Mus musculus: one gene and its partner. The protein of the gene in region 2 purifies or fractionates together with the protein of the main gene of each other region. This does not show direct contact. Links are inferred from orthologs where the notes say so. Each region holds a gene or a part of one and is shown on either strand. Other genes may lie near its edges.

Evidence for each region. The genes of interacting proteins can lie anywhere in the genome.
Region 1: the proteins of Mepce (region 2) and Prpf31 purify together in Homo sapiens (affinity purification with mass spectrometry; 3 studies listed by BioGRID and IntAct, counting the BioPlex papers as one, with this or other methods). This does not show direct contact. The link is inferred for Mus musculus from reciprocal best matches to the Homo sapiens genes MEPCE and PRPF31.

The regions. Positions count from the first base shown.
Region 1 is NC_000073.6:3,632,985-3,636,484, reverse strand, and holds part of Prpf31 (U4/U6 small nuclear ribonucleoprotein Prp31), read right to left. Parts: intron 3,448-3,500; exon of another isoform or gene 3,182-3,447; coding exon 3,084-3,181; exon of another isoform or gene 2,362-3,083; coding exon 2,255-2,361; exon of another isoform or gene 1,793-2,254; coding exon 1,623-1,792; exon of another isoform or gene 285-1,622; coding exon 127-284; exon of another isoform or gene 1-126. UniProt on the Homo sapiens protein: Involved in pre-mRNA splicing as component of the spliceosome. Required for the assembly of the U4/U5/U6 tri-snRNP complex, one of the building blocks of the spliceosome.
Region 2 is NC_000071.6:137,783,902-137,787,857, forward strand, and holds the start of Mepce (7SK snRNA methylphosphate capping enzyme), read right to left. Parts: upstream 2,801-3,956; 5' UTR 2,162-2,800; coding exon 560-2,161; intron 1-559. UniProt on the Homo sapiens protein: S-adenosyl-L-methionine-dependent methyltransferase that adds a methylphosphate cap at the 5'-end of 7SK snRNA (7SK RNA), leading to stabilize it.

The DNA.
Region 1 (3,500 bases), on a different chromosome or scaffold from region 2:
AGCCACCCAACTATTATTGCCAAGTGGTGGCCCCAGAATGGTATCCTCCAGGAGCCTGAGGAATATTGCCAGCCAAGCCAGATAAGGCCTGGTGGCTGGGGGAAGGGGACAAGGTGAAGGACTCACTGGGGGCAGAGACTGCACAATGTCACTGTGGTAGATATAACCAGTATGAGGCAACACTGAGGTAGAAGAGAAGCCAGACAGGGTCTTGCGCTGGGCTCCCAGCAGCATGATGTTGCAGGCAGGCATCTTAGAGAGGTTGGTGAGCCCTCCAGCCACACCTGCAACAAGAGGTGAGGTCAGAGCCCAGGACTTCCATCCAGGAGCTCATGTATACCTTTGTGCTTTGAGTAAGAGTGACTCCCATAGGCGCATAAAGTCACCATGAGGTGAAACTCATGGATAGACTAGACTGATCAGGAGGCGTGGCCTTGTTGGAAGACATGTATCACTGGGGGTGAATTCTGAGGTTTCAAAAGCCCATGCCAGGTCCCACATGTGTGTGTGTGTGTGTGTGTCTGCTTGTGGATCATCTACATCTCCAGCACTATACCTGCCTGCCGCTGTGTTTCCTCCCATGATGATAATGGCTTAAGCCTCTAAAAGTAAGCCCCAGTTGTCTCTTCACAGCAATAGAACAGTGACTACGACGTCTTTGCTCCTTCATTTGTTGGCTGGTTTGATAACAAGTATTTCACTCTGTAGCCAAGGCTGGTCTCAAACTCAAAGTAATCCTCCTGCCTCAGCCTTCTAGATACTGGCGTTACTAGTATGAGCTACTGCATCTAGGAGGATATGGATCTTTTGGGGGGTATTTTATTTTTATTATTTTATGTGTATAAGTAGGGTGTGTGAATGGAGACCAGAAGACACTTTTGGGACTTAGCTCTTCCCACTTGGATGTGGGTTTGGGGGAATCACCACACTCAGGCTGCCAACCCTGGGCAGCAAGTTCTTTTACTAGCTGAGCCATCTTTCTAGCACAGGACACAGAATCTTTAAGAAGATGGCTGAGGTAAAATAAGGTCATATGGATCCTGACTCTATCCGACTGGAATGCTTGTAAGGAAAGGAGATAAGGACACAGATACAAGTGGTGTAACTCCATGAAGACACAGAAGACACGTCTGAGCCAGGCAGAGGCCTCTGGAGAGGTCTCACAGCACCTTGGTCTCAGCCTTTGCCAGCTCTGAAACAGCCTGGCCAGAGGGCCTCAAGACTGAAGCTAAGTAAGCAAAGATGGTGATTTTCCCCATATTCCCTTTTCAAGCACCTCTCTGCAATGAGGGAAGGGACTCTGCTACAGGAGCTTCCAGGAGAAGAGCATAGCATATGGGAGGATTTGCTGCCCCAAGTAGTAGGAAAGCCTGAGCTGACTTCGGTACTCGGTGGTTGCTCCAGAGTCTAAAATGGGCCTATTGTCAGGAAGAGGCCATCTGTGCGGTCTAATTAAGCCAGCCAGCTCAACCTAGAAGGGGGTTGCTGTGCTTCTATTGTGTGGATGTGCCAAACTGGCTGACCTCTGACTTCAGGGGACAACACAATAGGCCAAACCCCACTTTCCAAGGCAACCTAACCTATCAGCAGACTCTGCCAAAGGGACCCCGCTGGGACCTCACCCATGATCTTGGCAGCTGTGGATGCTCCAATGATGATGGACAAGTTGGGTGCAATGAAGGACATCCGGGACTCCACATACTCATAGATGCGGTGTTTGGAGGCATTCAGCTCCAGTGCCATGTCACAGGCCTCCTCTAGCCGCTCTAGCTCCTCATCCGACAGCTGCTGCCTACATTGTGGAGCACGTGAGGGTTGTGGGCAGACTCCAGCTTTGCTAGGTACATTTCTTTCTTTTTTTTAAAAGATGTATTTATTTATTATATGTAAATACACTGTAGCTGTCTTCAGACACTCCAGAAGAGGGCATCAGATCTCCTTACAGATGGTTGTGAGCCACCATGTGGTTGCTGGGATTTGAACTCAGGACCTTTAGAAGAGCAGTCGGTGCTCCTACCCACTGAGCCATCCCTCCAGCCCCACTAGGTACATTTCTAACTGGTGGTCAGCCCCATCTACTGTCTCAGCTGTGTATGTATGTGTGTTTGTTTAGTTCTGGGACTATCATAAAAATTCCATCTGTCTAGGGGCCATAATTCTCAGTCAGCACCACTCTGACCATGCCCTCCATTCTGTCTCTCCTGTTAATTGTCCTATGGTAGGCTTGCGGCACATTACCGTTTGGCATACATACCCCTGGGTAGTAGAGGCAGTGACACTAACAACCATGATAGTAGCATTGGTCAGGATCTGCTGGAGGTTCTCATTGTTCTTGCACTTATCCAGGCTGTTGCCCAGCTCCTGGGGTAGGAAGGGGAGGGAGAATTTGTAGTAAGCCCAAAAGACCCTCTTTTGCTACAACACCAACAGAGGTCTCCCCTTGAGGAAGCTGGGAAAGCTAAGGTCCATACACTGGAGGCCTCTCTTTCCTTTTACACTTTTACAACCTCCCTGCCTAAAGCATCAGTGTGCCTGCTCTGCTCTACGGATGCAGAAGTACAAGCTGGCAAAGCAGCCTCCAAGGAAGACATGCTGCACTAAAGAGGCCGTCAAAAGCGCACTTTATTCCACAGACACAATTCCTGTGCCACCATCCTGATCTCCTGGACAGAGGCAGGACCCCTGCTCTTTCACTTCCACTCGCTCCAATCCCTTGTAGAGAAGCCAACACCTTCCACATCTAATGTTCTCTGCCCTTTCTGACCTCTCCAAGCTTCCCTCCCTGCCCCTTCTGACTTCATCCTTGCTTGTTCCCACGCAGGGTCTTAGCTCTTATTCAGCGGTGGCCTCTGCCAGCTCAAAGGACACCTGCTCCAACTGCAGCCAGAGGTAAGGGCCAGGTCAGTGGTTATCCTCCCATGAAACCAAGGGGAGGAAGGAAGCAAGAGATGTGCATGACACATCCATTCCAGTATCTGTCCCTCACCACTGAGCCCCATTCATGACTCTCCATTATTTCTAGACTTGAGGTTTCATGGTCTAGTGGCCCCAGTTCTTCCCAAGCCAGACTTCTCTCCACTCACCTTGACTGTGCGGATGTAATCCAGAGCATTGGGCACCAAGGATTCTAGCTCAGGGAATCTCTTTGAGTATTTATCCCGGATGAACTTGTGGATAATGTCTAAATGGGACATCAAGGACAGGTGTCTACTGAGGGGGAGGCAGACTCTGCTGCTATCCCCAATACCTACTTCCACCTCTCTAGTAACCAACCCCAAATCATTCTAATTTCCTAGCTGTCTCCAATGCTATGTGCAGGTGGGAGTTTGTTCTACAAAAGTCTACAAAATATGAACTGAAAGTGACAATTTTCAACTTCCAGATCGTGGCCTTAAGGAAACAACTATGGCCTATCTTCCCTCCACATTTGCTGGTAGGGATGCAGAGGTGGGCATCATCCTGGAGCACGTACGAGGTGGCAAAGCCTGGCTGCTCAAGGG
Region 2 (3,956 bases):
CTCACTATTCAGTCAGCATGGGGAAGACAGACCCATGGGTTTCTGACCAGCAATTTCAACAGTCTTGTGTTGTATCTAGGGAAACAGAAAGCAGCTGAGGCAAACAGAGTCCCTATCAAAGGCCCCAAACGACAAATACCAGAGTGTTCCCCCTCTCCCAAAGACACCGAGCTTGAGGCTCCCTCAGGAGACTTGAGGACAAGGTTCCATGTGGACTGAACAGAAGTACCCTTGGGAAAGTGGACTCTCTGGTTACAGTCCCAGGTGGAAGCAGGGCAAGGCATGCTATGTTGGGGATGAGATCCTTGTCTGTAGTCATGAGAAAGGACCAGGTGTTAGAGCCTCAAGGTAGAGATCCCACTTTCCACGTTAGAGGAGCAGAGACAACACCCAGTAGAGATTCTCTGGCCAATCCTGTTCTCTCCAGGAGGTGGTTCTTGTATGGAGGAACAGATGGACGCATGGATACACCTCTAGGTCATGACCATCCCCCCAACACATTCCTATTTAATCTCATCTTCACATCTGAACCCTATTCCAAGAGCCTTTGGACTCTTACCGTGACGAAGACGACATTGTTGGGGAAGACAGATGTGTCCGCTCCATCCAAGGGCACTTGGGGTGCAGCGATGGGACCCCGGCTGGCTGTCAGTGAGGCTGGGAAGCAGCTCCTTTTTCGGACAGTGATAGTCCCTTCCTCCCCCTCTGTCCCTGGGTCCCCCTCAGAAGTCTGAGCTTGGAGACGAAGCTCCTCCGACAGGTAGTGTCGGATATTTTGGCGAGCAGAGTGGATAAGCCGTGGATCAATGTCCAGCCCCACCATGCGGGCTGGGCCCCACTTGCAGGCAATACTTAGGGTCAGATGGCCAACGTTGCAGCCCAGATCTAGGACGTCCCGGCCTTGAAACCACTCGGGCTTCAACACCCTAAGGCGCACGTCCTCACAGGAAGGATTGCGATAGCCATAGTACTTGCAGTAATTCCCATATTGGAACTTTAGCTGTTGCTTTTTGAAGCCAGTTGCAGGTAGTGGGTGGTGGTGGTGACGGCCTCCTCCACTCCCTCTGCCCTTTTCCTTGGAACCCTGGCTTCCACCCCTAGCCCCTGCCTCTGACTTGCTGGAAGTCCTGCGACGTTTGCGATGTCGGGAGGAGGAAGAAGTAGAGGGTGCAGAGGTAACTGAGGCAGCTGGAGGGGCAGAAAGGGAGCCTGAGGAACCCTGCAGGGCAGATGGAAGGGGAGACACAACTTCATCCCTGCAGTTGATGGCTGTGTTGAGTTCATAGGGTTGAGGGGCATCACGGTTCTGGCCTCTGTTTTGCTGCTGCTGCGTAGCACCCTCCCCATGGAGTGAGGGCGTGAGAGGGTCAGTGGGCAGCACGGCGGCGTTGCTATCATTCCCTCCAGACGCCTGCTGCTGCTGCTGGTGGTGCGGTCCCCGGTGTCTATGGCGCTTGCGACCAATCTTGAGTGGTGAGGCAAGCACTACATGGGCCTCGTCAGTGCAAGTGTTGAGACTGAGCGGGTCAGTAATATCTTTGGGGATGAGGATCTCCACAGGGTCTCGCCCCTTGGCCGGAAGTGGGGATGACTTTGGGGTCTCCGCATTGAGTGCGCGACTCACTTCCTCATCCAGGAGGCTATTCAGGTTCAGTGGATCAAATATGTTACCCCCCAGAAGGAAATTGGATGGTAACACAGAGTCGCAGTCTGAATTCACTCGCCGGCGCCTCTTGAAGGCCGGATGTTTGAAGCTTCCACCGCTCCCTCCCCCCACGTTACAGCTATTTCTTCTTTTGCCCCCACCACCCCCAGGGGGTCGGTGGGGCTGGTAGCCATTGCGAGGTCGAGGAGGGGCTGGGGGACCCAGGTCCGTCCCGCCCCCTCCCCGGCGCTCCTCCCCCACGTCCGCAGGAGCGGCGGCTCGCCCGTGGGGCTCCCCGTGCGCCTGTGCCTGGGGGCCGCCCCCTCCGCTGGCTGCGGCCCCGGCCGAGTGCGCGCGAGGGCCCGGCCCGTGTTCTGTCCCATCACGGAGCTCCCCGGAGGCAGCCTCTTGGTGCGATTGCACCTCGGGGCCGCCCCCTCCGCCCGACTCATCTTTGAGCGGCGGCGGCGGGGCCGGCACCAGAAAGGGCTCCTTCTCCGCCGCCATCTCGATCATCTCCTCTCCCTGTTTAATTTCCCCTTCTCAAGCGAGGGTACTGAGAAGAGAGCAAGGGGAAGCCCCCTGTAACCCTTCCTAAGACCACCTCACTCCCTCCTTCCCCGAGTGCGCGCGCAGCTCTGCCTCGCGCCTCCACCTCCCTCCCGCGACACACCAAGCGCGCTCCACTCGCCCGCGAGACCAAAACAAGATGCCCGCGAGACCCGGACAAGCCGAGGAACCAACTGCGCGTGCGCCGACTCCCTTTTCTCCGCCACTACCACTCTGCCGCGAGCGCGCACGACGGGCGCGCGTCCCGCTCGCCCAGGACCCACGCATGCGCGCTCCGCCACCACCCAGGCTGCGCGCGCATCGGGAGTGCGAACCAACTTAACGGCTCCGAGAGTTTAAATACAGCCCCCCTCCCTAATTACCTCACCCTCCCCCAGCCCGAGACGCCCACCGCCCCACACGGACACCCGACTTCCCTTCGCTGCTAAGTCCAAGCCCTACTGATATCCTTTGTCTCTGCCGTGCGATCCCACCCACCGTAGGCGGGGAACGGGAGCTGGTGTGAAAAGGTCTCCTTGACACCCGACCCTTGTTCCTGAGGAATGAGGCTCCGCCGTCTCCGCCCGGCTCTAAACCCAACAACCTCCCTGCCCCGCCTCCTTCCTCCCCCATCCCCGCCCCTCCTGGAGAGCGCCTGCGCACAGTCCTTTTGGACTTGCGCGGGTTGAAGGGGCAACACGTGCTGGAGATGATGTTCCGCCCCCTCCGCTCTAGGGGCGGGGAGTGTGACGTCGTTTCCTTAGGTTCATTACACGCAGCGTGCGTCAGCACGTTTCCAAGGGGCGTGCATTCCCAGCGAAAGAGGCGGGCTCATGAATTATTCATGAGCGATCGCTGGTCTTTTCCCCACCCCTTCCCCCCGCCCCCAGCCTATCTCATTAGAATTAGGACTTAGGAGAACCTGAGGAGAGGATGATAAAGTAGGCTAAGGAATCGAGACCATTGTCTCAAGAACTGTTATCAATAAAATGCAATATATTATTTAATATATTTTCTGAATTGAAAACAAACAAGTACTAAAACATCGAGATTGTCCAAACTCCTCTTCCCCTGAAATGGCCCAGTTGTTCAAGCGGCCCTCCTCCTTCCACCAGGGACAAACATCTAGAGAACTACGCCTTCCTCTCCTCCCTACACCTACGTCAGGCCTCGGACGCCGCTGCCATAGTGCAGCGCCTGCGTATCGGTCCCTCAGCGCCACCCGCTAGCGTTGCGGATTTTACAGCATTATCCCTGCAGCTAGACACACCGCGAATGTGGGCGGGAAAGGGTATCGACCTGTTTGGGCTCCTGTTTCGGCCAATGGGAAGCACTGATTCTATGCAGAATCCTCAGACTGATGGCTGGCGGAGTTTCCCAGTCCACAGACTATTTGTCAGGAAAGAGCACTGTAGAGGCAAGGGGGGAGCTCAAGATGGTTTCAAAATTTAAGAGGGTGACGACAACTAAAAGGTAGGGAGTGATAGCACGAAAACAGGAAAGAGAAAGCGATTTGAGGCAGAGATAAGAATGAAGTGCCTAGGGCGCTTCGCAGGATATTATGGGGGGGGGGGCGCGGAACTAAAGATGTCAGCGAGGATTATGGAACTTGTAGTTTCACTAGGCTTTCGTTCTTAAGATGGCGGGCTACTCCGGCTGCGCAGACGCAGAAGCAACTTCCAACTGCGCACGCGCAGCACCTGAGCGCACGCCGCTTGGGGGCGGAATTTGTCCGTGTCCTCGCGCCTTCTCCTGGTGGCGG